Neodiprion lecontei: one gene and its partners. The protein of the gene in region 2 purifies or fractionates together with the protein of the main gene of each other region. This does not show direct contact. Links are inferred from orthologs where the notes say so. Each region holds a gene or a part of one and is shown on either strand. Other genes may lie near its edges. The genes, in order: uncharacterized protein LOC107226935, zinc finger MYM-type protein 3 and ubiquilin-1.

Region 1 (12,173 bases), on a different chromosome or scaffold from region 2:
CTTGATAACGTCTCCAGCGAACAGGAAGTTCCACATCCGGGCACGTTCAAGGGGTGCGGAATAGTTGTTTCCGTAGTATTCAGGAATGATATCTGGATCAGAAACTCGTTGAATATTTTAACATACAAATACATAAGCCGTAAGTATAATAAAGCATCGTATTAACTAACCTTGACTCTGTGATCTCGTCCACCGTCCACTGTGTGCAATTCAAAGATAAAACACGCACCGTATGCCGGCTCAATGTGTCTTTCGTTGAATCCTAAGAGCCTCGAAGTATACACAAGCGTATAATCGTGAGCAGCGTAAAGGTGCATTTTGCGTTCGTTGGTTCCGTTCTTACTCATCCACATATTTTGTAAAATTTCCTTCAACAAGGGTCCTACTTAAATAGAATTCTTGGTTGTAGGTGCCATGAGTGGTGCAATACCAGAAATTTGTACGAAAAATTTTCGCACTTACCGCCTCTGAGCCGCTTCTGGACTAAACTGTTCATATGCGCATCAAAGTATACGGATGCCTTTATGGTTTGGTTCCTCAAGAAGTTTGTAGCCCAGTCTGGCAATGGTAATCCATTCAATTCCTAGATGATTTCGAGACATGCCCCATGTGAATAAATTCTTCAAATTCTATCACTTGACTCAAGCATCTTACCTGACATTGAAATATGTCGCGAAGATACAAAACACTTTTTAAAGATGTTATCTTCATGCCGGTACCCTTTGACAGTATGTTGAAGAGAACTGGGTCGTTATAGCTTGCGTCTAACTCCGAAATGAAATGAGCAGATTCATTCTCAAAGCGCGGACACGGCACGTCCATCACGATCAACTGATGAAAAACGCTAAATAATCGATGGACAGTTTTGCGATGGTAAATTTTTCCAGAACATTTTCACCAACCTTGTCCGAACCCTGCGGTATCGTCTGCACCGTAACTGGACGCCAAAGTAAACCTGGTATGAACTGGTCTTCAGGTTTCGGCAAATAAAGTCCTGCTAAAAGCGATTGCGCGGACATGATGGCTCTGTCCAAATGGCTGCTACGTACCAGAATTTCGTTGCTGTGATACTCGTCGTCGATCAACGATCCGTACATTTCTCGTATCCGTTGCCCCAGAGTGTACAACTGAAGCATTCCTTTCTGGTGCATACGAAATTTGTACGAAAAGTTAGTTTGTACTGTTACATAGATACGAGCTTTTAAACCGAATTAAACTTCTCTTCTGCTACTTATAAATTAACAACCAACCTTAGTCAATCCTCCCTTTCCGCTAGGCCATGGATAATCAGCATAAGGATCATTCGGATAAACATCAATGGGAGCTCTGTCGCCATGTCGAAATACCTGCAACGTATGTAGCACAATTAGCTAGTATACCATTACCAGAATGATGGCTTTTTGGAGATTCGCAGTTCTTTAACACTATTGACAATTTCTATAGTAAATCCACAGAATCCATCCAAATACGTTCCAAGTTCCTACGGATTTGCCGGATTCCTATAGGATCCCATCGGAAATTGGAAGGAACCAAATGGATTCCATGGGACATTTTCACTAGGGGAAAGATAAGAAAAAACTATTACACATGGCTATATATTCGTGCAATTTGCTTACGATAACAACTTGTTGCAGGCTCTTTTGTTCGTGGGATGGTGAAGTAGAGGCAGCGCAGTGAAAAGTTAGGAGAACGAAGGCAATAGCCACTCTAAAAACGGCTGAGGAATCACGCATTTTGAAGGGTTCTGACCCGTACTTAATAAAATAGTTCCTAGGATAGTGTTAATGACAATTTGTAATTGGGATAAGCAATGTCTAGATAAAGATAAATTTTCTGTATTGTACTCCGTCCGTATTCATTTTGCAACTGGTATCTATTTAACTCATGCCGTAGTCCAATTTAAGATCTTACACGTTTTCAAGTTCACAGTTCTGACGATACTGACCTCAGGGCTCGTTATCAAATTAAAGTAAATGCGTGAATTCAAGTTCAGTAAAACTCAGGGTTCATTATCATCGTAGGTATTATAGTGTTATCTTACTGGCGATGTTGCCATAACTGAACGATTTATTGATATAATTAAAACTTATATGTTTGATTCGTTTGCGTAATTTTGTTGATAAGTGGGTAGTTAGTCTAAATTTCTAGATATTAAATATCTTTACAAAATCCACGCTTAAAAGCGTTCCAGTTTACGCATATTCCATATAATAAGGCAAAGAAGCAGTAAAGCGGAATTTCATGTATCATGATTCGCATGAACTATGGTGCATTGCAAATCGAACTATGGTGTTACTTGTAAGGATATTCAAGACTGTAATTTAAATCCAGCATCCGCCTACAATTTATAACTGCAATATTTTTGTTGCAAAATTATTGAAATAATTATTGTACAAGTTAGTAAAATTCAATTATCGTGTGTTTTACGATTATGATACGATGAGAGATTTCAGAATGTGTAAAGAACTAGTTGTTCAATCAGTCTGAAAAATAGCAAGCGCAACGACATTGAGGAAAATTTGATATCTTTAATTTTAATGAATAAAAAGACAACAACAGTGAAAACGACGTGTACAATTTTATTCCCTGAACTGAATAAGTTTTATTTCATTATCGTTGCGTAAAAATGTTTTCAACGCATCAGACTGCATCGTCCATTGACATCTTGGAATTTTAATGGGCGTAGAATTATCTCGGTACATGGCATTTAGCAATCCCATTGTATACCGCGTGTTTCAAAAATAAATTCCATCACTGTCGTACTTGATCTCATTCGTTTATTTCTACGTTCTCTTCTTAGTTCTTCATAGTACAGAGACTTCACATTTAGCGATTACATATAACGTGTGTTTGAAAAATAAATTTCATCACTGTCGTACTCGATCTCATTTGTTTATTTCTACCTTCTCTTTTAAGGTTTCCATCGTTTCCATTGAGATTATCACTCTTTGCAAATCGTCATCTGATGGAAAGAAATTGAACTAATGCAACCAGCTGACAGCTGACTGTTGTCTGTGTTTTTTCGCATGTCCACATTAGAATAGGTATATTATTGATTATGTTTCCTAAACGTATGTGTCATGAGTAATTTGAAACCCTAAGAATTACGATTTGCCTCGATTAAAATTAAAAACTTAGGTTATGTGATGATAAAATGGCGCCTATAGTTATAGGCTCTGACGTCATGAGGACATTTTCCAATCATACGGAGACGTGGCATTGAGTCACATTATATACCGCGTGTTTCAAAAATAAATTCCATCACAGTCGTGCTTGGTTTCATTCGTTTATTTTTACCTTCTATTTTTAGTTTTCTATAGTACAGGAACGTGGCATTTAACGGTCACATATACCGCCTCTTTCAAAAGTAATCTCCACCACAGTCGCACCGAGCTCATTCGTTTATTTCTGCCTTCTCTTTTTAGTTTTCTATAGTACAGAGAGTATCCACCGCGGAGACGCGCGAGAACCGCCATCTTAACGTGGTCGCGACTACACCGCTGTTGCGGTGTTGCGCTGTGTGATTTTTGTTATTTGATAAAGATATTCCCGCGGTGATAATGATTCAAACTCGATAAAATTGCAGTGTGTATTTTGCCAAGGAATAGTGAAGGTAGGCTGAAATTATATTGAATCACATTTGATTAACCGTAGGATTTTCAATATCGTCCCGTAACCTATATTTTATTTACATCAAAATTTATCGTTTTACCAATGCCGCAACTGTAGCGGACAAACCGATGTTTTTGATACAGGTAATAGAATTGCTTACCCGCAGACGGGACAACCTCAAAGCTTTTATTTAAACAAACTGTAATTCAAAATTACCTCATCAATGTATCATTCAGAATATTTTTTTTCTAAACAATACAATTCTCACTCCCACACATATTATTATAAAAACACTAATGTAACCATAATAAATTAGGCTCATTCATTATCAACATAATTTTACTGCACCTACAATACTAAATCTACAATCTTTTCTTTAATGATTTTCAATTTTTTTGCTTCTCACATATTCTCCTATTTTTTAGTTGAATGTATGTAATGGATGTAACATACTCCGCTACCCGTTGACCATCGCTATCCGCTATTCAGGAGCGACACATTTTTGAAAACCTTTTTAACATCACTTTGTAGTTTTCAGATCGAGGATACCTGAACTGGTTGGTAAACCAATTTAACAATGCCGAAAGGACGGTTAATTACTCGATCTGTGACCCATACCAGGCCTATCAGCATGACGCTTAACTTGGACTGCTCTGAGGAGCCTCTCAGCGAATCTCAGCTTGCGCACAATGCAAAGCTGAAAGAAAATTATGATAAGGTAAAGAACTCGTGCGTGAAGTAATTTGTGTATATTCTGTTAAATAGAGTGAGAAACTTGAAAACTAAAAACTCAGGCAAGGGAAATTGCCACAACTTTGGCATTCCTGGTAAAGTGTTTCAATACAGCAACAGCATGTACTGTTAATAAAGGTGTTTTATATTTAAATGTTTCTTAAGGTTGCAGGAACACTCGAAGAAGTGATCAAAGAACGTGGTGGTCAGCTACTCTGTCAAGCAGGTGCTGTCCAAGGGTATCAGTACACATTGTAAGTATCTTAAAGCAATTAACCAGCTGTTAAAAATCCAATGTTTTTAGTAATAGTGAGCATCACTCTCTACTTATTACCCTGAACTTTTTCCACAGGCCAGGAAATGCTCCACAGCCAGCAATCGTCAAACCTAGCCAGTCTTCGTTGTTGAATCCAGTAAGTTTCACTTTGTTGAATAATTCAATTGATTCATCATTTTGGCATATTTAATTGCCAATGATAAACTTTCCAAGTGCGAAACTCAGATTCAGGAGCTATTTAAGATTCAGTTTATGTATTATACTCATTGCTGATGTTATTTCTAGAACCAGGCAAAATCGCAGCCTATAAAGTTGAACATGTTAAGCAACCCACCTGGAAATCAGGGAAATATCCAGCTTGTGATGGATCCACGGATGGGTGTTATATTGGGAGCAGTTACACAGCAGCAATGTAGGCAAACTGTATTTTAAAATTATTTTCAACCACTCAATGTTCCTGGGACAATTGTGAAACTAACACTATGTCGTTTTCTAGCTACCCCACCAACCACGCAAGCAACTCCTTCACCGGTAGTGTCTTCGCAATCAACCAATGAAAACGTACGTAGATCGATGCATCTATGTGTTCCGTATATCAAAAATCAGGCTCATAATTGTTGTTTCTGTTAATCCAGTACAAGTACACGAGATCTGGCCGTAGAACAAAAGTGCTCCAAGTGCAGCAGCCTGATATCATGGAAGAAGTGAGTGAAAACTGAAATTCACTTGAACGGTGGCGTTTTGGGTATTATTTCCTGTGCTGTTCACAATGTCGTTTATTTTTTTACCCCTAAATTTGACGTGCCAAAAATTGGAATTTGATTTAGTCAACAAAAGTTTGGTCTCAGACTGGGAATGCAAAAGAAGTGCATATTGCATATGAATACTTGTAACTCTGTTACCAATTTCAGCTTCCTACTCCAGTTTCCAGAACCAGAGGAAAAACCGGCACCCCTACACACGTCGTTACTCCTAGTAAGTTGCAATCTGATGTTAAATGCAGTTACATTTGGGTAGAAATAATGATGAATGTTGCTGTTCGTACCTCTGGTTTTGATCAATAGAATTAAATCATCTGTTCCAGCAACGACGAGCCCTCAGGGGGTGACAAATCTGAGGATAAAAACGGTTCCTAAACAGCAACAGCAACAGCAGCAGCAGCAGCAGCAACAACCACAACAGAAACCTGCCCCAATCATTGTAAGACCAACAGAACACACTAGCATAGGTGGTATATCTGTGGGTAACAAAAATGCAAGTGAGTATAGAGTCTCGATTTATCCTTATAAGTTTGATGTGACTGAGATCATTTTCATCTGCTGCACTAAATATTTAAATCCATAATTATTTCAGGCGGTGAACAGATCGAAGAATCGAAGCGCAACCTGCCAGATGGCAGAGAGATAACGTTCAATAAAATGAACGGCGGTAGGACTTTTCCCTCGTTGGTTGTTGTTGCCCGGCCAAACCTTTGCACAAAAGATATCGCGCCACAGCTTGCGCAAGCAGAGAGAACGGAACTGGGTCGGTACCGAGGTGTTTTAACAAAAACAAACGTTTAATTGTACACGATTAACACCCCTGTTAATGGCGAATCTTGTTTTCAGATGTTAAAGTTAAGAGCGTCTTGATGTATTCAGCAACAAAATTTGCCGAATGGCTAATACAGCAGGGTTTAGTGCGATCGGAGCAGTACTGCAACCTGCACAGTAGTAACTATCAAAAGACTAAATTGAAACTTGGAATGTACAGTGATTCTGGTACATTTCCCTACTCTGGTGGTTACGTGTGGATATCGAGCTGTTGCCCGGATCGTTTTGTCTCAGTATTCTCTGGCTCGATATTTCAAGGAGCTCCGCACACTCCAACTGTTTTACTAAAGTTAATTTATCACTGGGCTTGTCAAACAAACGTGCAGAACGTCGTCTCTTGGGTAAAAGTATCTAACGTTTATGTAAAAAATTTTTACACCAATCTTCGCAGCATTTGCACAGCTGCTGTGTGGGATAAAAGTTGTAAAATGGGTGGCAAAAATTCTATGGTTCAAGTCGGAGTTATCAGCCTTGGAACTACATCGCAAGATGGAAATTTGAGACAGGTAAATTTTTATTCTATGTATCGACTTGTGCTCATTACAGGTAAGTATGTTGCGTATCTTTTCAATCTTTGATATTATTCATTTTGTAGATGAACTCATATGTTTAATCTCTCGTTCAACAGGTCAAAGTAGAAGTATTGGGTATCTTGAATTTGGAAACGCAGGAAATTCGACTGCGCGCTTGTGACCCTGTTCATGACGGCGACAGGTCCTTCAAACGAAGGTTTCACAATATATTAAATCCGCTTCGAGACTGGGTCCACAAAGAATCCAAAATACTTACTGATTACACAGTCGACAAATCTACCCTCCAGGAAATGGGATTTCACAATGTGATGCAGTCAGCGTTTTCTGAACAAAATCCCAGGAACACATTCAGTAATTACCACATTATGGAATACCTGAGAAAAATCGTACCAAGAATGTTTCAAAACACGCTAAGTCTTCTTAGTAGACAAATGATACAACAATTCCTAGACGACCTTGTCTGGCGTGAAATGTTTGGTAAAACAGCAGCTCGTGCATTTGACAATATAATAATCCACATAGCGGAGCAGACTAGAATTGATTCTCGTAAGTTGGATTCTTTGGATGAGAACGAAAAAGCAGTCTTATATACCTCCAAGTTGACTATCAATATCTGTAATTTTCAGCTGACTGTTTACTAGATCGTTTGGCTAAGATTGCAGCAAATCCATTCCAGGATTGGTCTTATTCAAACCTGGCTCCGCCGCAGCTGGCTCCAATGGTCTCGATCCCAAAGGAGCCAGTATCAAACAACGCGGAAATTATTCAGACTATAACACAGGTTGACTTGACTAGAAACAACAATAAACCGGGGCCTAAACGAAACCGAAAAAGACTCATAGCTTCTAAAGGCACGAGTCCCGAGCCTGAAGTGAAAAGATCGACGCCTGAACTGAGATTTAGAGACAGGGAAAACAAGGGCGGCGACAACATACAACTTCAGGAGTACTACTATGCCACAATGGAGGGTGACAAGAACAGGCTTTTAGATGAGCGTAAAAGTTCCATAAACATGAAGGTGAGCTAGCGACAATATTTTCGCGGGAATTTCCACTTGTAAAACTAAATAAAAGTGGGCACAGAATTTTCTATGATATCAATAAGTAATTGAAAGATAGATGTGTAACATTCATTTAAGATACACTCTGTATTATAATGTGCAGTGTTTTCTGTGCACTACGATAATGCGATCGAATACAGAAGTTATGGAGCACATGGTGACCCATGTAAGGCCACAAGTACCTGGACAAAAGGAATCCCCGGTCTGTAGGTATTGCTGCGCTGTATTCTCGTCCAAGCATCAAATGACAACGCACGTTAGCGAAGCGCACAGCACAATGGGGCGAAGTGCCAACGGTGACATGGTGGTATGCGCTATTTGCGAAGAAAAGTTTGGTGAGTCGATGCTCAATTGTGAGTACCTTGTATTATTTTAGTCAACATTAAGGCAGATAAGACTGCTGTACCGTTAATTTTCTTTTCAGTGATTGGTACGCTACTGGCTAATCACATGGCAGCTACTCATTATCCGTCGGAAATGCCATACCGATGCGAGACCTGTGGTTATCGTTCATCTAGTCATAAAGATGTCATCGATCATTACTATAAAATCCATGAGAAAGGGGATGGTCTGATGTGTCCTTATTGTCTCAAGGTAAGAAGAACGGTGCATTTGACTTTTACCCAGTCATTACCAATTCTGTGTAATAACTAAAATTCGCGCGTTAAACAGGTGATTCAGTTCTGCACGGACGGTAATTCAGGCACTCTTCTACCAGTTGTTCATGCCTACTTATTGCACATGCAGAGGCATTCATTGAGGCGTGAAGAAGGGAGGGGTAACAAATGTCGGCGATGCTGTCTTTGGTTCAACCAAAAAAGTGCGCTGATAACGCATCAGAAAGAGTTGCACATTTTCCTGTCTAGCCCTAGTAAGTTGAGAACTGCGTGAGAATCAATAATATCTGATTAATAATTACAGTCTAAATTACCGTATTCGTAAATTTTTACAGAAATTATTCCGTACATCGCAACTGAAAACGGTATAATGATACCGAGACCACGTAACCCAGTGAAACGTATCGAAATAGATAGTCCTATACAGGAATTACCCAACACTGAGAACGTGAAGACATGGTCCGAAGGACCGATTAGAATTCTTGCTCCACCTAAGTTGGCTTGTCAGGAGTGCGAGGAGGACATAGATGAGCTTGAACATTACCCGTAAGATTACCCGTCGGTTTTTTGGTCGTAGAACTAATTTCGTACAATGATTGCTTCGATTGTTATATGACCGTATGGTGTAATACTTAATAATTTACAGCGGTGAACAGAAATGCTTGCACTGCAAATACTCGACGTGCTGTTGGCGAGCTTTCAAGGAACATCAGCAACAGTTTCACAATGCTAGACCACTGACCGGCTTAGCAGTACTTTCACCACTGCTGAACATACCCTTGGAAAATAAAATGCAGTGTCCTTGCGGTTTTTCGTCGGTTGATGGAAACCAATTAGGTATTAACGTATATTCATTCATTTACTACTGGTTTGAGATCATTTTTTATATCCAATTTTATATTCTGATAACATCTTTCGGTTCTTTTGCAGCGACGCATTTGATCAAATGTAAAAGGATATCAGCTTACCCTACCGAGGATTCCGAGGCGACTGGAATGTTAGACAGTTTGGGATTGGTTCCCAAAAATATTCAAGACGTATGGGTGTTGTAATATTGCAAAATGTTAAATGATGCAGGGAAACAAGTTCCGTTTCAATTTTTTTTTCCATTATCCTTATGTGCTGTTTAACCACTACTGGATATAAATATAGAATAAAATAAACAGTATTCGTTAAATCTGGCAAAATTTGATCTACTTCATTTAAAATTAGCTTTTTGCTGAAGCAAAGCAAAAATTCTTCAGATATAAAAAAATTCAAAAATATGAAAGGACTAATTATTATGAGGTACATGTAAATGTTGTGGTTTTTAAGGACCTGGAAGGTACAAACAGTCTTCATCAAAAGCCACCCAGGATTGACAGAATGGAAAACCGACACAACGACGAGGAGAATTCTGTTCAGCCATTGACTTGTGAAAAAACTGACGGAGATTTAGCGATGCCTGATATTACCGTAAGAACAAATATGGAATTGAATTCTACTACTGGCATTAATGGTCGTCGGGCAAAAGCGTCTACCTCTACATCAACAAGGTTCGAACCTTCCCTAGAAGACAATTTGCCAGAGATCGTTGAGGACAGACTCTTGCCATCATCTGGAAAGAAAAAAAAAGTCTGATGTCGAGATCTCAAATATTGTGAAGTGAGGATTTTAAGGGACGTGAAAATTGAGTCTAGCAAATTTCTCGGTAAAACCGGTAGACTTCGTGAATAGTGTTTACGTTAATTTTACGGTATTTCGATTAACTAACAATAAGTATGAAAATAAAACTGAGTTTTGAACGACTTTAAGCTTCGTTAATACCGTTCGTAATCGTTTGCGTTTGCACCTTTTCTTTTACGAGTTACAGATTAGCCAAGCACGACAAGCTTCACTGAATAAGAGAAGTTTCCAAAGCGTGATGCCATGTATAATAACTGTTCTGATTTGTTTCCCAATTGTATAATTTCTTGTAATTTTTTCACAGACATTGAAAATTAGAGACTATATTATTACATACGGTAGAAAAATTTTGCAAACGTCGTTCGGCGCGATGTATCGAAACATATTATAAAAATTTTCGATACTCAAGATCATTCTAGAATTACCTATGCGAGACCCAACGTTTTCGAACATACTACCGATAGCAAGTACTAAGGATAAATTTGACAATGTATCGATAAGTATGTTACGATTAATCCTAATAAGTCTTTCTTTTCTACCACACACGTTATATTTCCGTTGGACATTGGATAAAAATTAATAGAAAAAATTTGTCGTATCATTACGTAGTGGGCTGATTTCTCAGTTAATTCGCTTGCTCATCTGTTGAAAATTAATTGATCATACACACTCGTGCATACCTTCAATTATCAAGCAGACCCATGACTGCAGCTCTACTTCGCCAATCGGTACGTGACACGTAACCACCAGCAAGTAGTCTGGAACCAGAATACGCGGTCCGGCCATGCATTACTCTCCAGTTGTCAATGAAAATTACTTCTCCAGGCGAAAGTTTCACGCGGGTTTCCCCCTCTTTGTCGGCCACAATAGCAGCTATGAGGCGCAGATCGTTATAGTGTTGCTGTATCTGATCACGAGGAAGAGTTCTCAGCACAGAACGATCGTAGAGATTAAATCTGTGATAGGGATTTGATATTTTTATTTAATTTGATTTATTTTTACTTCATTTCGCTGCTCCCTCTCGATACAAGAATGGAAAATTCTAAGAGACCAGCCAACCTGATTTGCAAAAGCTCCCTAGTGACGGGGTGGAGTTTCAGGATCGGATCCACGTGCGTATGGTGCTGACCTTCTTCCACATAGGTCGCAGAAACCGGCATCCGCGTCAGTCTCTCGTAAGATTCCGGATACCTCTGTTTCAGCTGCATACTAACGTTCAGGCCATCTACGAGGAGCGTTTCTCCTCCGATTCTCGCAGGCTCCAGACCATGAAAAACTTGCAGGCTGAAATTTGAAAGCTCGTTGTCTGTGGGATGTTTAAAAAATTTCAAAACACCTCTTACTTACCCTGCAGCGTCGCACCAGTAAGTATTGTCTGTATGAGCACCAAGGGCGATGCTTGTGTATGCAGTGTCATAGTGCGGCTTTATGTCGGTCTCCGATGCGACTTCACTGGCATCGGCAATTTCCTCGTTATGAACTTCCCACATTTCGCCGAAAAAAGTTTTTTGTACAGGCGCCATTCTGGTTATCAATTTTTCGGTAACGGCGAGAGTAGCTTCTACCTGAAAAAAGCGTTCAGCCTCGTCATTCACAGAAGATAATGAAACGGATGGTCATTTTTGTGAAGTGTTTCTATTACGGTAACATCGGTATTAAAAACCTAAAGCTTCATACCCTTCATGTAGCATAATGTAATGATTGTTGTACTCACACCGGTGACAAACGCCACTCCATATCTCAGCAGGGACGAAAGAACCTCGGATAAACCTGCGTCCGTGTTCATGTAGGAATTCAATTCCACCCTTGCAACATCCGGGAGCTTGAACCAAGGAACAGGGGTAATTTTTCGCTCTTGGTTGTCGCCCAAAAATCTAGCATTCTTCACCAGCCAAGAAATTTGGTATTTTGATCTGTGACCTCCGTCCCCTTGAAATCGAGACGATATGACGGTCATGAAACTGTGCGAGCATTGCCTGATAGATATTTTTTTACGCATTAAATAATCTTACAAATGACGTCGAGCACTCCGTCAGAGAGATTGTATTCACGAGGAAATACATCCGGGGGAAAATCGAGAATACT
Region 2 (8,867 bases):
AAATATGTGTACACGTGTATAGGGTACATAAATCAAATTCGTTGAATGACAATACGTGTTTAAAATGATAATTAATATCACGACTTGGAGATATATGTATAGGGAATTCGATTGGAATCGGATGGTATATTCTTTCAATGTGTCGTTTCTTATTTTTCTTTCTCCTTCGTCGAGATAACGCCAATGGCGAACGGTGCATCGAAGTACACGGGCATCTCATTGATGATCGATGCGATGTAAAATTGACGGGATAGAAGTAACGTGCTTTCGCACTTTATTCTGCTATACAAACGAATGCGTGCAATTGACGGCTACGACTCGGATACACTAGTCGTGAAATTGATACGGATACGGGCAGTCTAACTTGAGATACCTGATTCTTGATGAAAATAGTAGACATCCTGTTATGCTTTTATGATGAACATATTTCCACGTATAAATACTCTGTATTATATACACAGCGTTAGGAATTTCAGATTACTACATAGGGGGGGGGATTGAAAAATACAGTACATTAAAATAAACATTGATTTTTCATTACATTAAGGTAATGCAAAACTGTAAATTAACGGTATGTTTTGGTAATGAATAATTACCGTCTCTGGTCGAGGTCGGTATTCATCGTCAGTTTGCACAATCGCGCCTTGAAGCATAATTAAGAAAGCAAACTCAAAAGTGAGAACTGACGACGAATATCGGCCTTAATATAATACCATTTCTCATAGATTTGCATCGCCTTAACATCGCGATGCATCGGACTCCATTCGGAACAGTAACAATTAACCCATCGTCATACCGGGAAGTGAACTAATTATAACGCATCAAGCATCGCTCATAATCCCATCACCCCGATCTGCTTTTAATTCACGTTACAAACTCTTTCACGCTTTCGTCGACAATTTGTATTTTGCATCTAATGATCAAGTATGATCTCATTAAGAGCAATCGATCATGGAACTGCAAAATCCAAAATGCTACGTTGCTTTTCTTATTTTCATCGCTTATTCGTTATTACACATTGTCCGTTGAGTTTTCTTTCTTTCTTTCTTTCTTTCTTATTTTTTTTTTCTCAAGATTTCCTTGATCTTTTTTTTTTTTTTTTTTGTATGTTTATTTTTTAATCCTGTGCCCGACGTTATTGAGTCAAAAGATCAAAGCATTGCGGAAGAGAGCCCGGAAATAAAGAAAGAAAAAAAAAAACACAAAAACAAATCTTTGGATTCAAATACAATAAAAAAAAAATTCACCCAATGACCGGGGAATCTGCTAAAATCTACACGCTGCTTGTTGTGTGACTCTCCGCAGAAGAAGAATGGGAACGAGAATTGGAAGCGGAGCTTCGTGACTTCGAGGTCGTACCTGGACAGGAGAAAACAACGACGAGCGGAGGAACTGGATCTTTGAAAGATGGTACATTGGGGAAGGACGACTGGGAGGAACAAATCGACGAGTTGCTCGGCGAAGAGGATGATCTCAAGTGAACTGCCTAGTCATCGACGAGGATCATCTCTGCCCAGTAAATTGACCTCGACGCTTCTTCACTTACCTTATTATTCCTTCATCCATTCATACGCAATAAATAAGAACGAGTGGTTTGGAAAAAAAAAAGAAACAAAATAAAAAAGCAAAAACAACAAAATCAACCAACGAAAGAAAGAGAGAAAATAAGGAATGGAAGAAAGTAACGAATTATCGTTTTTCATACTTGTTTCACAAGTTAGGTTTCAGCTACGAGATACACTGCAGTTCATCGCGGTAAATGAAACGATATTATGCCCTCGCGATAGAAGGGCTCGATTTTGTCGCAACGGTGCTTTTCTCCAGGGGTGTAACTTCGTATCCACCCCCACCAATCCCATCCCCTTCCTCCCTCCTCCCTCCAGTTCCAGCCACCACCAACTACCATTCGAATGAAGATACGATAAATAAAAAATGCAGTCGCGTTTACGTCAGTCAACGATGAAAAAAAAATGGCTCGTTCATTAGTTCCATGAATAATCGATCATTGGTTTGAATTTCAACGTGAGAAACGCGAATATATGGTAAGGAGAGTTTTCGGAAACGCTTGGTACTAATTAACGAGTATCGGTGCCTATTTGCTATTGATTTGAGCTAAGCGTATTTTTGAAAGCCAAGAATGAAATATGGCCTAAAATTGTATATTCACGTATTTATACATATATTACCGGATGGATTACTTTGAATTACAGGTAGTGTGTTTTGAAATCTCAAGAGACATTTGATGGAACTCTGTGAAAACTGTTGTAAAAATTCTGTTTACTTTTCTGAATGTTGATCATAGCGTGGGTACTTTTCTGTACTCTTTAAATATTTCTCCAACGACAATGTTTCACAAATTTCTCTCGAATTTCACAAAGCCTCACGTATTATTCAACTCGCCCCTCGTTCATCCTTATCTGTATTCGAAGAAGCATCGATTAATTTTGAAACACACGAGTAATGAAATACGGAAGATGAAATGAAAATCAATGGCGATAATTTTCAATAATACCAGCAGCAGCACCCCCACCAAAATATAATACCTGGTTATGTGTTTTCTTTGCAAAATGGTCCAGCGCAGGTTACCATGACGTTAATTTCTTTGCGCATTTAATCTCTGTATTCTTGAATTATAAGCGAGATCTGATCAGGTTTGCTAGCTCAATGTTATTACAAGAGAATGGTAATAACCGGCTGCTTTTTATTGCATTTGTGAAGTGGGGTCTGAATTCAGATCCAAGTTTCACTTTTTACTTTCCTATGTATAGCCTACGGTAGATATTAAATTGCCAATATTAAATTTGTCCAGTTAGTCGTTGGTCAAATGCGACCGATTGCGAGGCCTAAGCCTGGTTGAAAAGTTAGAAGTTTAAGAGTTGAAAAAACAAAATGAGATATTTAATTAATATATAAGCTGATTTCATTTAACGTTATATATATAACTATACGTATAACATTATTATATGTATATGCATTCTCAGCGAGAGATTTTGAAAATGTCTATAATAATTATCAGTTATGAAAAAAAATTAATTATATTGTACCTGTGTTGAATATAATAATAACAATAATAATAATAATATACACATACAGATTATTTGGTGAGTTTATTTACACGATAATTGTAGTTATAATCAATATTGTTATTAATCAATTTATTGATTTGTTGATTACCTTGAATTCGTTCGCAATTCAAATCATAGCAATATGTATGTACGTACTTATATCAATTTCGGATGAGATAGAAAATTATTGACTCCTTATATTATATATATATAATATATACATACTGGTATAAATAATATTGAATCGATATTCACGATGAATGTTCTACGACGCAGAAAATTTGGAAGAAGTACATAAATTATAATTATCACTCATAAATAATGAACATACACCCGATTATAATAATATATAAATTTAAATATTATATATATAAATATAAAAATACGAACATACATTATATATACATATATACCTATATCTAGCGGGAAAATTCAAAGGCCATATATCTAGCGGCAATATCGAAAGGCTGTAGGTATATATATGTGTATGTATATATATATATATATCTAGTGAAACGCCTAGTCCGACGAAGATCTCTGCTAGTAATGTTCAACATATATATGCTGTTGATTCTATTGAAAGTATGATATATAATATATACCTATATTATATTATAAACTAATAAAAATACGATACAAATTCAACCATTAAATATTTGAAAAAAATAAAGAAATTATTAAATAATACATACATACATACCTATATATATATATATAGAGCTACGATAATGTAATCACAGAGGTCGTGTACCTTGTGAAAAAAATATGAAAATCAATGAATCAGTTTTATTTCTGTTTTCATTCGCATACTTCGCACGCTATGTATTCAAATCTTGCATCTTGTTCAAACTAGGTGATTGTTATTCAATCGAAGCTATTTTTATACTTCGATGCATTCCTTGATATCGACGGATTATTCTTAAATTTGTCGTTTCCGCATTTCGCAAGAGGATATACTATTCATGAGGAAAATAAGTATGAAATAATTATTTTCACTTGTTACATCGCGTATACAATAATTTTGATTGTGTGGCGTCACCATGGACAATCTCACATCAAGATATGCACACTGCCCTATCCTTATCATAACGTTTAGCCGAAATTTGCTCTGACAATGAGACTCGCTGGCATACTGTCTTTTTTTTACTAACAATCCACGGGGAAAATTGTAACAAATTTATCAAATCTTTGTACAATAATCAATATTAAATTTCATTCACACGTAATTCTCATCATGCGACCGTAGCGTTTTGAACTGGCTACACTGTTTGCCTTGAGTGCGATTTCCCTAGTTTCCAACCAATAGCAACGGTGGAAACCTAGGGAAAACGTCCGCGGCGCAGCCAGTCAAAATCCCTACTAATGTTTCTAATGGCGAATTTGGCTCGCAGAAAAAATGCGCACTGAGTATATATTCCCGAGCCTTGAGCCAACGAAAAAGCTAGAAATCTGCATCGAGTGTGCATTTTTTCTGTAAATCGAATTCGCCATAAAATAACGCACATACAAGATGCTGAAACGAGCGTTGATTGAAGCCATTAAATCTCACCCTCACGGGAGTTTATTGTCACATTTTCAGGTATGTTTCTCAATTGAAATAATATTTCACGCAATTTGATGTTAATTAATGATGAGAATTTGATATTCTTTGTGAGCCTTGTGATTCCCGGGCTGGTAGCGCCATCTATCATGCCGCCTATGTTTGGATGGGGTAGCACACAAACAAAGCCTTAAAAAATACGTGTGTAAAGTGTCAGTTGAACGGGGTTGGAATTTGTGCATTTTATTTATTAAAAAGGAAAAAATCCCAACAATCAGTGAATGATATTGGCTCCAAACCCTCTGACCAGGATTGAATGCGAAGGCACGTGAATTACATATGACTAAAAAGTGAGTAAAGAAGAAAATACCACGAATTACCTGTGCGGCGTTTCTCGCCGAAACCTGCAGCGTCGTTGTGCATGTATGCGTATATCATTAAATCACATCAAACAGTTTGGTTAAAAACTTTTCTACGCACGAGAAACCGAGTCTAGGGTGTTTCAGTCGCGTAATTGGTGCGTGATTCGTTTGTATAGTTGTTTATCATTCAAGCAAACAAGTATACACCTTCCCCTTACAATTGTTGACAGAGAATAAATTCATTCTCTTTTTAATAACAAGGGTTAAAAATGCGTCTTGTATAACCTTCCTTACCAACTATCAGCTCTATTTTTTTCGCTAAAAATAATAAATACAACATGGCGGTGTTAACGCAAGTCGATCTCGAACCTAACCTCTAAAAACTTAACCAATTTCTCTTATTGTTATTTGTTGACAAATTTCAAGCCGATTTCAATATAAGACTAATTTTTCATTACAGATTTTTGGGAAGATGTACGATGGAATAATCTTACCGAAGCTTCCCGCTAATGAGGCTTGAGTCATTGTTAAAATACACATCAAAGTGCAAAACAAAAAGCGTGCGAAATCATAATCATGGAGCAAGACACAGAAGCCGTCTCAGCGACTGACGACTCGATTGTTCCTAGTTCTACGGAAGCTCAACCAGAAGCCGGGGCATATGTAATGGATGAAAATGCCGAAACACCCGAAAAAGATGGTCTTACAGGCTTGGAAACAACTCTAGCAGTGGTTGACGATAAAAACGAAGACCCCGTACCCCCTAAAAGCTGTGAGACAAATCTAGAAGATACTCCCAAATCTGATGCAGATACAGCGTCTGTTCCTAAGCTAGTTGACTCGATAGAAGACAATAGAGTGATTAAGTCATCTACTGTAACTGACCTAGCGTTCCACAAGAATGTTGAATCTAACGAAAATTCCCTTAGCTTAAATCCTCTTGACTCGGAATGGAAAGATACTGATGTATCTATGACAAGTGTGAGTGAAAATCCAACCTCTGAGGCAGAAGAATCTACTATAGTTTGCAACTCTCCAAATTTAGAAAAACCTTCAAAGCCAGAGAAGAGAAACTTGGACACAGTAGAGGAGAGTTCAAAACTACAGTCTCCTGAAAAATCAGATAATCCTGACGTAGAAAAGGCTTTAGATACTTGTGCTGACGACACAGCGATGGAAGAAAAACCTGACTCCAAAAAGTGTATGGACAATATAGAGGATAGTTCAAAACCTCCATCCCCTCAAAAATCTGACCATTCTGATGTAGAAAAGGCTTTAGATACTTGTGCTGATGATCCAGAGATGGAAAAAGAACCTAATTCTGAAAAGTGTGTAGAGGTAGATATAACAAAACAAAAGGTATCTGAGCCTGAAGAATCACTTTGGAATTTGAAAGTTGGCGGGGGTGTCGAGGCTGAGAAAAAACCTGAAGCTAGTGAAAGTGCTGTGGAATATGATACAAAAAAATTTGACTCGTTAAATTCAGAATCTAGTCTCGATGGCCAGGAGAAAGATGCACTGGTAGAAAAGAATGTGTCTGTCATAGAGCCTGAGAATACAGAGTTTGTGCAAATATCGCAAGAGGATAAGCATGACGAGTCTCACATAGAAAATCAGTCCATAGATAATGCGGAAGATCCATTCGGCGGTGACAATGAGAACTCGGAACATCCAGACGACGATCATATGGAGGCTGATAATCTTGATGGGGAAATTGCTGACCTTCAGAAGCTTGGAGACCAGGCTGATAACCTCCAGGATGTAGTTAAAGCTAAGGACAACTTTCAGCCAGACAAATCTAAAGATGATTTGAGCAATGAAATACTGAGTAAAGCTGACAGTGGTGACTCTGTGGCAGATGTTATTTCCGATAAAACTGTTGACGAAATTGTAAAAGTGCAGAAGTTAGTTACGACTCCTTCGATTGAGAGTGAGGACAAATCGGAGGAGAACAACAAAGAGGCTGTTGAAGAACGAGATACTGGAGAAGCAGCTGAAGGAAAAGAAAGCCCCGGAGATGATGAGATCCAAAAAGATGGTAAAGAAGGAGAGAAACTTTTGGCTAAGGCGAGCCTTCCACCTTTAGGGGCCGAAGACATATCATCTGATGTTCTTCCTGGGCAGGATGATGAACTATGTATTATTCCTGATAGTATGAAGGTCATTTTGCCTGGAGGAACAGCAGAGAAGACTAGCGAAGGCGTAGAGAGTCAGAAAAAGCCGGAGGAAGAATCGGTAGAGAACAATGCGGTAGATTCGGAAAAAATTATGGATGACGATCAAAGTCTGACTATTGTGAAAAAACCGGTTGTAACCAAGGCGATATCTGGACAGTTGGTTCCCAAGAAGGGAAGAATTGTGACCGTTAAGTCGAAGGGTGGCAAGCCTTCTTCTGCTGATGTTATAAACCTAGATGACGATCCACAAAATTCAGAGTCTGAGGGAAGTAAGCAGAAAGAGAAGTGTAAACAATGCAATAAAGAGCAGTCGTGCAAAATAAAGGTGAAGATAGGCACAGAGTGCTTCAATGTTTGCTCAAAGGAATGTAGGAATTCATTTAAGGCAGCTAATAACAAAGCAACCGATATTCCGAGCGATGGAGTTAACTCAAAACGGGAAAAGAGATGCGCAGGGTGTCTCTTGATCGTCGATGCGAATGACGAGAAAAATCTTTCCTGGGAGACAATGGAATTCTGCAATGAGGAATGCCTGGGCAAATTCCAAACCAAATACGGAAGCTATTGTAGGAATTGCAATGGCTCCGTCCAGGCGGTCAGCCTAGGAAAGTACTGTGTACGCTTTGGGTATGACGTCAGACAGTTCTGCTGCTCAACATGCTTAGAGGAATTCAAAAAAGGATTAAAGGTATGCAGCTACTGTCAGAAGGATATCAGTTCTGGTACAGAAGGATTTTTAGCTCCTGTGGGGGATAAAGGACAGTTTAAAGACTTCTGCACTCAGGATTGCATGGAGAAATATTCCAGAATGAGCTCCAGTGAACCTCCGGCATCAGTGAAAAAGTCTTGCAGTGTTTGCCAACTGGTGAGATTTACTTTTTACCATTCATAGTCTAGTCGAGGCCAACAATAAGTCCCCAGAATGTAGATCTGTTCTGAAGAGAGCAACTTTAGATTTGCTTACTTGGTTGGAAGAGTATAGATTGACTTTTGCTCTTTGATCAAGTCCTACATCTTCAGAGATGAAAAAGACACGTACTTCGTTACATGTATATGTATATTTATAACCCTCTTCACTACTTTTTTGTAGGAAAAAATTGTCCACTGCGAAGTACAAATTGATGGAGGGACTCCAGCAGCCATATGCAGTGATCCTTGTTTTGCAGCATTTAAATTTGTGAACAAGGTTGACCCAGATCAATGTTCGACGTGTAAAAAATTCTTCCAGTTGTTGAGTAAAAAGAATTTTGTTGTCTTCTATGAAGGAGAGGCGCACATGTTCTGTAACAAGACATGCCTCAACGTTTTCATAATAACTAACAGAAAAATTGTACCGTGCAACTGGTGCAAAGTTAAGAAGTACAATTTCGATATGATAAAGAAGGAACTTAAATCTGGACAATTAATGATGATGTGCAGTTTGAATTGTCTCACCCTTTATCAAGTAAGTAGACCAAAGATTATCTCAATTGAGACCTAATACCGAACAAATTTTGTAGACGAATTTGAAATTTAATCAAACTAATACTAAATTCTGCAAATCGTGTTTACTTTTCAGGTTTCCATTAACGCTGTATCCGCAAGGAGAATAAACTGTGACTTTTGTAAAGAGTTTTCACAAGCTCAATACCATCTCACGATGTCAGACGCAACAATACGAAATTTCTGCTCCTACAAATGCGTGATGAACTTTCAAAGCCAGTACACGAAATCTCCGATCACC
Region 3 (10,697 bases), on a different chromosome or scaffold from region 2:
TTATCTGTTTTATGACAATAATGAAACTCCAGAGTAAAGATTCGCCCGAAGTTCGCGGTGTAATCGCATTCACTTTGGCTATTTTATCCCAATTGCTACAAACTACTATTGAGAGATTACAAGAGTCAGTGATCAACATCTCTCTGCTAAACAGCGAAGAATATGTGACAAGTAATCCCCAATTTGTAAGAGAAAATGGAAATGACGAATTGAAGACTGATGATGTTCAAGATACAAACGGAATTAATATTGAAAATAAGCAGAGTTTACTAAACTGTGATAACAACTTTCTCGATATTAACGATAATCGCAAACACTTGGACAATATCGAAGAGACTTTTATCGATGTTGATGATCTATTGAATGGGGTCAAAAAGTCGAAAGACAAATCGAAGAGTTTATTGACCAAGCTTAGGCGTCCGCGAAGGCGCAAAAATAGTTCTGACTCTGATGCGAGTGACGCCGATGGTGCAACGATCGGATCTTCCAGCGATGAATTGAACTCTGATATTTCCGAAACTGAGGAGGATGCTTTGAGTGAGGAAATTATTTTGTCAGATGACGGTGTATCTGAAGATTTGAGTGACACCGAAGTTCCTCAAGTAACAAACAAGGAACAAGATTCTATTGTTGAAGATAAAACGAATGCTATAGGTGAGACAAACCCGACTTTGACAGATATTAAAGAAAGTATAAATACTCTGAACGCCAACATATCATCGAACAGTGTTAACGAGACAGTTTTAAAAGACGACAGAGATTCCACCACAAATTCTGGAAGCGCATTAACTGTAATAACGAACGTTGATTCAAACAGTGCTTATGATGAAAGTAATGGCTCAAGTAATACCATTGCCTATGTAGCTCAGTTGAAGAAGCAGAGTCTGGGTACTGCTGAAATAATGAATGTTCTGATGGGCGAAGGGATTTTGACATCAATCAAAATTTGCTTCGACTGGTTGATTGGTAACCCTGACATCGTGCAGTCATGCGCCAAAAGTTCAAGTACACTACTAAAAAGGATATCGACGTTATTGAATTTGATCAACATAAATGCGGATGCTTTGTTCAAAAATCCAGAGAACATCACATTATTCCAAAATCTCAATAGCCAAAACTTGAAGAAATCTGTTGAAGTAGTACCGCTTCCCGAAGATATTGAGCTAAAAGGCCTTAAAGTTTTTGATAACACGCAGAAGACGCTTAACTGGGAATCCCTAAAGAAATTTAGAATGAACAAAAGAGAAGAAACGCTACTAAGAATAATGAAATTAATCAAATTTGGTCATTTTCTATCTACTATAGAGGAGTCTGGCATATCATATGATGAAACTACACGACTCTTCGTTACCTCACATGTCGATAATTCCACAGCATCGAACATAGATAGCAGAAAAGAGAAGAAGGAATCTGAGGCAGATCATCCCCAGGGAAAACTAATGCGGCACATGGGGAGACTGTGGCTGAAAGCTGAAGTTAGAGCATTGGAAACCCGTTTACGGTCCAGATTAATGTCGCCATATCTTGTGCCTGACCATGAGGCTCTCTCGAAGCACATGCCAGCTCTGAAGCGTCTTGTTTATGCAAAGCGATTCATTGTGGTCATACCTTCCGTGGGTAAGAATATAACAAACAATTATCTAATCCACGATATATCAACAATGCTACTTTAACTATATCTTAAAAATTGTCATGAAGATTCAAAACTTTCGTTTGTTAATTTTCAGTTGTTTCTGCGTTGGATGAGGTCAAGCGTACGAGCAGTAGAGCTAGGGAAGCAACTAGGTGGCTAGAAGCTCAATTGCGACGTGGTTCGAGATTTTTACGCGCTCAAAGACCGCACGAACGACTTCCAATTCCCCTAGTCAAAGGGCCCAGACCAAAGGATAAGGAGGCATGGCTTTACTTTCAAATAATTGAATGCTGTCACTACCTGACAAACCAGACGAAAGTTAGTCTTACGAGTGAAGGAGAAGCCCCTGTAGTTACGTTACTAACTGGATGCAGCGCAGATGAACAAAAAACTGCAAATTTCAGTCCAGTTGGACTTGCCAAAAGTGCAGGTAAGCATTTCAATTTCTGATTCGTGATTGGTGGACATTATCAAATTCACTGAACTTAGCGAATTGAATCGAGCAATATTATCTTATTATTGAAACTGGAATAATATTTTGTTTGCAGGAGTGAACCTCGAGCATATAGAATCGTTTCACACAAAATGGAAGGCGTCCAGTAAGAGTCACGGTTGAAGGCGAATGGCCGATGAGAGAACAGTGTCTGTAATTCTCGTATATCACAACGACAGCCGCGGGATTCATCCGCCAGTAATAGAACCGCGCATCAAAGGGCGAACGTATCGGCGAGTGCTAGTGGGGTTGGAAACCCGCAACGAATATCACCCACTATATTTCCTTACATTTGAAATAATGCGGATAACTTAATCATTTCGCATTGTATATTTCTAAATTCAAAAACAACCATGATATATTATTTTTCTCTTAATTAATCGCATTCTCCTAAGTTACATTATAGAAATTATATTTTCTATGTCCGTATTTCCGAATAAAAATAAATTCATATTAGTAATACCTTATGATTACATTTTGTAGAATATGAAACGGTCATCTGCATCGCAAGTTTAAATATAAGAAATCCACACTCGTTACCATATTTGAAAGCATTAAAAAGGCTACTTCCTATAGGTTTTTCATTTGTTGCTCAACTGTTAACGCTAGAAATTGTTATTTTTCATCATTTTAGTGGCCATTACTTATAAGCGTGTGAAATCAGACAACGTACTGAAAAAGTATAACAGAATTTACATGTTATTGTATATGTATTAAGACGAATGAGTAGTCTCTGATATCAAATAATTGAATAAAATCACATTATGTATCTGGCTCAGCGTTGAAATTTATGATGATCCTTCATTCAAGTTTTACGAAATATGAAAATTTCTGCGTACCGGTTTAACTTTTAAAAAAAAATCACAAAATTGAAAGTAAAAACATTCGATTTGTAAGTCAGTTGATAGAAGATGGTTTATTTTTTCAGATTTGTATCTGGCTCAGCTGGGAAGAATGGTGAACTGAACGCCTCCGGAGAAACACGAAGTATGTAATTGCATGAAGGGCGTTGAATCTAGGGAGTTTTTGGAACGCTTGAAAGAATGTACCAGATCAACGAGTGAAGCGCCCGTCGAAGGCTGCGGCAGAGTTCCAACCCGGTCCTTTTCCCTACGTGCGAAAATCGAAAGCATCCCAAAGTAACGAGTCATCTACCACTCAAAGATGGCAGAAAGCCAGGAGAGTCAGAAGAAAATTACAATTAATATTAAAACGCCAAAGGAGAAACAGAGCGTGGAAATAGAAGAAAATGCATCAATCAAAGACGTAAGTGTTGGTCACGTGCAGCGTAGCTTGCGAACCTCGCGACCGTTGTCCGACTAGTTTACTCGCACGATGATTTTGCTTCGCTAATTCATAATATATATTCCCGAACGATGGTGATATGCAGTTCAAAGATGCGGTTTCCAAGAAATTCAATGCCCAGCCCGATCAGATCTGCCTTATATTTGCCGGGAAAATCATGAAGGACCACGAGACACTTGCCACACACAACGTCAAGGATGGTTTGACCGTCCACTTGGTCATCAAGGCTCCCCGGGCACCCGCCACCCAGACGGAAGCTCCGCCACCCCGGCCCCCCGGTAAGCAACTCGCGTGCGTCGCTGTCAATCATGAGTAGAGATCAACTCAGGGTGTGGAATCCATTAAGGTCCATATACCTAATTTATCCTCATCATTCATTCCTGGTTGACAGACTTGTCACCCACGGTGCATGTGTCCCCATAAACTGCTAGTAATCTTGTGCCATGAGTTATCAACCACAGACGTGTAGCTGTCAGCTGTTATCGCAGAATTTCCTTTCCACACCCACGGAGTTGGCGTTGTGTGCCAATCAACATGCAAAACAATCCAGTTTAAATCATCTTTTGACCTATTTTCAGCTAAATTAAGCTTTCTTATCTAAAAGAGATTGCCATAATGCAAATATTCACCAAATATTCAAATATGTTTCCTGAACAGCTGATGAAACACCAGCACCAGTTTTCTAATTTGAGATCTTCTCATTTCTTCCACTATAATTTCTAATTCATCTTCCTTTTCGTCCCTTTCTCTGTTTCTATTTTTTTTGTTCTCATAGTCCTCTCACGTACCATAAGCTTGTGCCAGTGTAATTTTTTTTAGTGATGGTGTTTCTGCTTTCCAGCCGACGTTAACGCCAGTCCCTTTGGCCTAGGAGGTCTGGGGGGACTTCCTGGCCTTGAAAGCCTTGGATTGGGCTCGGGCAATTTTATGGAATTGCAGCAACGCATGCAGCGTGAATTGTTGTCTAGTCCTGATATGATGCGGCAGGTGCTTGACAATCCGTTGGTGCAAAGCTTGATGAACGATCCTGAAAACATGCGAAACTTGGTCACATCTAATCCTCAAATGCAGGAATTAATGCAGCGCAACCCGGAGATAAGCCACATGCTCAATAACCCAGAACTTTTAAGGTAAGTTGCTTACATGGTTTTATAAATTGCCATCATTGGCAAGAGGTAAATGATGCTTTCAGCTCCTTTTCGATCCCACTCTGGTTCAATTGTGATGCACAATAAGTTTTCTTGTATTACATGTATTTTGTTCCATACTTTAAAGTCAATGAGTTTATGTGATACCAATAATTTCCGAATGTAATCTTTTCTAATCAACTGGTATTTTGACACTTTTCGGTATCGAAAATCAGTGAAGATGTATATGAATCATGTTGTGACTTTGCAGCTAATCACTTAAACAAGATCTTAGTTTTCTTTCATTTTTCCAAGATATTTTGCCATCTACCAGTTTTGTACTCATATCATATTTCTCAGACAAACCATGGAATTGGCGCGAAATCCGTCAATGCTACAAGAGCTGATGCGCTCTCACGATCGAGCACTCTCCAACCTGGAAAGTATCCCTGGTGGTTACAGCGCATTACGACGAATGTATAGAGACATTCAGGAGCCCATGCTCGCTGCCGCAGCCAATGAACGCAATCCATTTGCGGCTCTAGTCGAATCCAGTCAACCCATTGATGCAGCAAATCCTCAGCAGGGGCAGGAGAATCGTGACCCCTTGCCAAACCCTTGGAGTCAGGGTCAAACGGCACCAGTGGGTCAAGAACAGGGACAGGGGCCAGGGCAGGGGACCAATCCAAATCCCATGAGAGAAGGCATTTTGAGTTCACCTGGAATGCAGAGTTTGACCGCACAGATGATGGAGAATCCGCAGTTGATGCAAAACATGTTGAATGCACCATACACTCGTGCCATGCTCGAGGCAATGAGTGCAGATCCCGCCATGGCCTCCAGAATGATATCGGCGAATCCACTGTTTCGAAGGAATCCTCAAATGCAGGAGCAGATGCGAGCTATGATGCCAGCCTTTTTGCGACAGATGCAAAACCCCCACATTCAGAGTGTTGTTGGTAATCCAGAAGCCCTCGCTGCTATTCGACAAATACAACAGGGCATGGAACAACTTCGTACTGTCGCCCCTGAACTTGTAGACAAGTGAGTGTCTTGTCCATACAGGGTTGCTGTAAGCCTAACATGTTGCTAAGTTTGAAATTGTCAAAAGATTGAATTCTCAGAACTATAACTTATGACAACCCTGAGTTATCAATATTTTTCCAAATTTCCATTTAAAGACGTGCAATGTATTGTTTATTATCGTCATAGCATGGGTCTAAGTGTTCCACCGGTACCCACCACTCCTACGTCTGGTGCCACAGTACAAACCCCGACTACAGGTCCGCAAACAGACGCTGATCAACAGGGCGCAGCATTTTCCCAATTCATGGCTCGTATGGTAATTGTGAACACATTTTCTTTACTCAGTATACAAAATCTATACGGTCCGTTATGTATAATCTTGCAAATCAACCATGCATACGCACTTATACAAACATATCAAGTGTTTTCTTCGCCTTGCAAAAGCATTGATTTTATTCAGTTAGGTTACACAGTATGGAAATGAAATCGACTCGTTCCCAATGGCGTATGGATACATTATAGATGTAGTCAATTAAGCCCTAACAACCAACTGTGGTATAATTCAAACAGGTATCATCAATGGCGCTAAATCAAGGTGCGGATGGAGTTGCTGGAGGTCAGCAGCTTCCCCCTCCTGAAGAACGATATAGAGCACAGCTCGAGCAACTTACTGCAATGGGTTTTGTAAACAGGGACGCCAACCTTCAAGGTAATTAACTCGACAGAATACGTACTTATAGTTTCAAATCAGATTTGACCATGTGTAACATGGAAGATTGAAAAAAAGAGTAGATAATTCGGGTATCATTGCAGCGCTTTTGAATGTAGTTTGAATATTAATTATTTGATTTCAGCGCTAATCGCAACATTTGGAGACATAAACGCAGCTGTTGAGAGACTACTGGCAAACGGACAACTGTCTATGAGCTAACCACCAATCTGTAACCTGAACATTTCCATTATGATACCTAGTTTACCTTCTTTACACCTGTTTGATCGCAGGCAGACACCCGGCAATTTCGACAAGAAAAATTATGAACCCTCAGTCCTGACTCTTAGCAGGATAATACACGCTCTAATGACTCATTTGATGTGCATTTTTATTATTTTAATGTCGGATCGGTGCCCGTTCGATGTGGTTTACCAAATATGTGGCCATTTGGAACAAGTTCCGCGCGACGACGACATTAGGTTTGGATCGATTCTTGTCGTCTTATTTTCTCGTTCGTGTATTATTTGATGTGCTATAAAAGCTATATAATTGTAACAATATATTTTTTCAGTGCAAAATTATTTACAATGATTTAGAAATATTATATTATATATTATTACATTATTATAATAATATGAGCTGTTCGATTTGTCTAATTGTAGCATACGAAAGGCATTAGGCATTGTGTTTTCTCAATTACAAATTCATAGATTTGTAGCAAAGTCATTGTTGGATGAAGATATAAAGGACCTATGTAATAGGCCTGAAAATAGACAACACGTGTTCGCATTGAAAAAGCCATTTACAAATTATTCCGCATTGTATGAAAAGTGGATGCATTCAAGTGAAACCTAATTATCAGCTAGTTTTTAAGTTGAAAAGGTGAAAGTTGTAAATTATCATTATCAAACGGAAAAAAAACCAAAAAGACGAAAAATATGATCATTTTACCTCCCATGATTGACATATTACTACCGAATGAATATGCGTACACATTTATCGTATAGGTGTTTATTAGTCTGGCTCACTCAAGTGAGACATTCTGTAAAAGCTATTATATATGAAATAAAAATGTGGTTGATTAATAATAATAATAATGATGATAACAGTGATCATATAATATTGATAGTAATAATAGGATCGATAAATTATTTAATCTCAACTATCTATTCCAATTTTCCCTCCTCAACTCTGCAATAAAGAGGGATAGCCTTTCATTATCAATGAAAGTGCAGACTGAACGAATTGATCAAGTCAACATTTTATAGATTTCGAATTGAAACATTGCCAATAACTGATTTTCTCCGGACGAATGTTTTCAATCCGAAATTGTTGAAATTTTGAATTGATAAATTTGTTTTATTTTATTGATATAAAACTGCCAATTATATCCTTGTGAAATACCAAAGCTAACGAATATTTGTTTCCTCAACCGTGTGTGCGTTATTGATACAGAATTATTCAAGATGGTTATTCCGTTTTTTTTTTTAGTTCAAACTGCTGTTTATTTTCACCTCATTTTGATATTTATTGTGCATTATTAGCATGGGTTTGATACGAATAGCACTTTCCAAGTCTCGTATAAAAATTTAGCAAAAACATTTAGTCTCTGGAATTAGATTCTACGGGATTTCCGTTACAGGATTTAGTTTTACTTGACCGTTACGCTCTTACATAATCTAGATTCTCAATGGAATTAACGGGATGAAACTTTTTCGCAGTGAAGCTCGAACGCAGCTGAGAATTTGGAAGCTGGATTTGAGAACATTCGATAATTGATAACATAAACAGAATTTTTGCAGTCCCATTGAAAATTCTAGAAGACATTTTTTTTCAAAGTTTGTAATATGACAGCTGCATTTCTAACCACAAGTCACAAAAGCTTAATTTTTATCGGATTCGTTACAACCGGTATTTTATGCTCGTCGATTATGCAAGGCTGATTCTTTCTACATACTGTAATATGTACGTTCGTAAAGGAACACGCCAGAGCTGAAGCATGTTCCCATGTTCAAAATGACTGTGGTATTCTTTTTCGAATGACTTTTTGATCGATGACTGCAAATCCATCGGAAAATTACTACTCTTGCGATCATTGCGGTAATGTGAATACTGTAGCAGCACAGTCTATCTCATCTCATCATAGCATCGGTCACTGCATTGTGATAAATGATATAAGATCAGAAATGACTGTGTCTTGTTTTTCTTTGACGTACAAAAAGTAAAGTCATTGATTTTGATTGATATATAAAAACTAAATTAGCATCTAAAAACATTTGATTTGCTATTGATTACTAGTGTTCCAGTGTCTAATGCAATAATCTCAACAGAATGATATTAAGAATTGCCAATTACTCAAAACCCTGGCGAAGGGTACGACTAACCAGAATGGACAAACCGTACTACGAATCATTGAAAAATTCATTACTTCATTCTAAATTATTTTCATTAATTTCAACCAAGATCGAAGAATGGTCACATTAATCGTTTCGCTTCGGCGTGAAGTTTGTCAATATTTTTGTGTCGCACTTCAAATCAACAGTGATCTAACGCTACTCTGAAATGTCATCGATAATTGACGCCTGAACGAAGCGAAGGATTTCTACAGAATAAAGATAGAATCGATGGAAGCCTGAATGAAACTGTGATAACGTGTGTTATATTTCCCTACAGAGGTCTATCCTTGGCTGTGAATACAGGCGGCGATAAATTACGAGCAACAAAACACAGCCGACCGACGGCTGCCCTTCCCTTCTCGTCTTGACGTACAATCAAGTCACCGATCTACAGAGATCGGTGAATCAAGTCAATGGAAATACCGATCGAGTAACGACGGTAGCGGTGCGCCAGGGGCGAAACCGTTGAAGATCGCTGATCGCGCGGCGACCGTTGGAGGATCGAAAAAGGACCAATGAGAGGTCGGGCGGTGCCGCAGCGCCTCCAGTCGTTCCTCGCGAGTGCCGCGTTACCGCAGTTGCCGCCAGTCGGGCAGTCGTAGTTGATCTTCGTTGCGTCTGCGTACCTGACTCGGTGTCCCCGTGGCTCGAAATCGGTTTTAGAATCGTGTTTAAATCCCGACGATAATCCACCGACCGATGCGACGGACAGCGTCGCGTTAAGGTTCCGGAATCAGGACCGTTTAGCGGCGAGGAGCGAGCTGACAGGGCAGGGAGAAAAGACGCGGTTAACCAGCGTCGGTGTTGACTACTATCGGGGGAATATCCGAGTTCCGTTGGGTCGCATCTCATCTCCGAGTTTAACACACGCGCGTCGAATTGCACTTTAAGAATGTGCGAGGGTGAGGTTGTGACCAAGGGAATATACGTCGACGGTTGTGACACGCCGAACTGGAGGATTCTTCCGTGTTGACGCGGCATCGCGTCGGTGTTGCGAGGGATAATATATTAACCCACGGGCAAAACAATACCCGCCGGAGCTCGAAACTGACCACCACCACTGTCTCTGCCGCCCACTCGAGATCGGAACCTCTGGAAACCAACGGAATGTAGCACGAGGTTAGTCAACGAATGCCTGCAGTTCGTTCTCTCACTTCCCCAATTTTCACTCACACAATCGCTCCACGCACACACACGCACACGCTAAAGGGAACGAAAATAACTCCCCGCAATTATCCTCGATAGTCGTCGCAGGTCGACACACGCGAGATGTTGTGTACGCCTAATTTGCATACGCATATTTACGCTCGTGGCTAGCTCCTAGCCACAGATCGAGCGCCAAGGCGCGCCGACGATTCTCTTCTGTTTCACGTCCGTTTGCCTGCAGTACCAGTTATGCTCTCACGGCGGACGCGTTCCTCAAGTCTCGAGAGCGGCGGACCGGCCAGCGAGAAGACCCGAGTCGTGACCCGAGACGGAGATTGATTCGTTCCTCGTTCACGTGTCCCGTGCCGCATGCACGCTCGTTAAATTCCACGTTTCTATAATCGGAGACGACCCTGCGGCCCGAAACATCCCTTTGCGGCCACGCGAAAAGCCTCGCTCAGAACTGAGAAGCTGTGCGCGAAAGGAGTCAGCGCGGCGGCTGCGAGGCTCGCTGGCTGTGTCCTTGACCCGCTACGGCATCCCGCTTCTGTATGTCAAACAACGAATTCCGACCAGGCCGAAGCTCGCGACGGTTGTTGGTGCAACGATTCGGTTTTCACGAAACATTATTGCACCGAACGTTAAGATTGACCGAAATTATGCTAGAACGTACCTGTATCAAGGTGTCGAGGAGTGGATTAAACTTGGTAATCTATCATAAAACACGAGATAGTTGACTCAACGCTGTATGCTCTTGTCATCGATGTCTGATTTATAATCAGAACTCGGAACAAGTGGGGGAACCAAAACTTGGGTTCTCGAAACTTTGGATTCTTCCTCAGTCATTTTGAAGTTGAAA

The links.
Region 1: the proteins of zinc finger MYM-type protein 3 (region 2) and uncharacterized protein LOC107226935 purify together in Drosophila melanogaster (affinity purification with western blotting; 3 studies listed by BioGRID, with this or other methods). This does not show direct contact. The link is inferred for Neodiprion lecontei from reciprocal best matches to the Drosophila melanogaster genes woc and row.
Region 3: the proteins of zinc finger MYM-type protein 3 (region 2) and ubiquilin-1 purify together in Drosophila melanogaster (affinity purification with western blotting; 3 studies listed by BioGRID, with this or other methods). This does not show direct contact. The link is inferred for Neodiprion lecontei from reciprocal best matches to the Drosophila melanogaster genes woc and Ubqn.

Annotation. Positions count from the first base shown.
Region 1 is NC_060262.1:1,988,834-2,001,006, reverse strand, and holds uncharacterized protein LOC107226935, read left to right. Parts: upstream 1-3,457; 5' UTR 3,458-3,613; intron 3,614-3,729; 5' UTR 3,730-3,755; intron 3,756-3,791; exon of another isoform or gene 3,792-3,813; intron 3,814-4,143; 5' UTR 4,144-4,189; coding exon 4,190-4,330; intron 4,331-4,509; coding exon 4,510-4,598; intron 4,599-4,696; coding exon 4,697-4,757; intron 4,758-4,906; coding exon 4,907-5,033; intron 5,034-5,117; coding exon 5,118-5,182; intron 5,183-5,256; coding exon 5,257-5,325; intron 5,326-5,532; coding exon 5,533-5,596; intron 5,597-5,699; coding exon 5,700-5,879; intron 5,880-5,974; coding exon 5,975-6,145; intron 6,146-6,228; coding exon 6,229-6,719; intron 6,720-6,841; coding exon 6,842-7,292; intron 7,293-7,372; coding exon 7,373-7,764; intron 7,765-7,909; coding exon 7,910-8,141; intron 8,142-8,230; coding exon 8,231-8,400; intron 8,401-8,478; coding exon 8,479-8,677; intron 8,678-8,758; coding exon 8,759-8,969; intron 8,970-9,069; and 9 more. Other genes in the region: lysosomal acid phosphatase, read right to left, coding at 1-92, 171-382, 463-583, 655-831, 903-1,142, 1,251-1,346, 1,617-1,733; trimethyllysine dioxygenase, mitochondrial, read right to left, coding at 10,771-11,044, 11,148-11,372, 11,436-11,653, 11,803-12,017, 12,101-12,173.
Region 2 is NC_060264.1:28,093,327-28,102,193, forward strand, and holds the start of zinc finger MYM-type protein 3, read left to right. Parts: upstream 1-4,429; 5' UTR 4,430-4,644; intron 4,645-4,676; exon of another isoform or gene 4,677-4,955; intron 4,956-5,023; exon of another isoform or gene 5,024-5,122; intron 5,123-5,147; exon of another isoform or gene 5,148-5,166; intron 5,167-5,178; exon of another isoform or gene 5,179-5,427; 5' UTR 5,428-5,543; coding exon 5,544-8,009; intron 8,010-8,234; coding exon 8,235-8,588; intron 8,589-8,702; coding exon 8,703-8,867. Other genes in the region: synapse-associated protein of 47 kDa, read left to right, coding at 1,306-1,481.
Region 3 is NC_060262.1:19,799,554-19,810,250, reverse strand, and holds ubiquilin-1, read left to right. Parts: upstream 1-3,224; 5' UTR 3,225-3,290; coding exon 3,291-3,392; intron 3,393-3,516; coding exon 3,517-3,709; intron 3,710-4,272; coding exon 4,273-4,561; intron 4,562-4,918; coding exon 4,919-5,602; intron 5,603-5,770; coding exon 5,771-5,900; intron 5,901-6,154; coding exon 6,155-6,293; intron 6,294-6,438; coding exon 6,439-6,515; 3' UTR 6,516-7,399; downstream 7,400-10,697. Other genes in the region: protein SMG5, read left to right, coding at 1-1,617, 1,728-2,063, 2,182-2,249.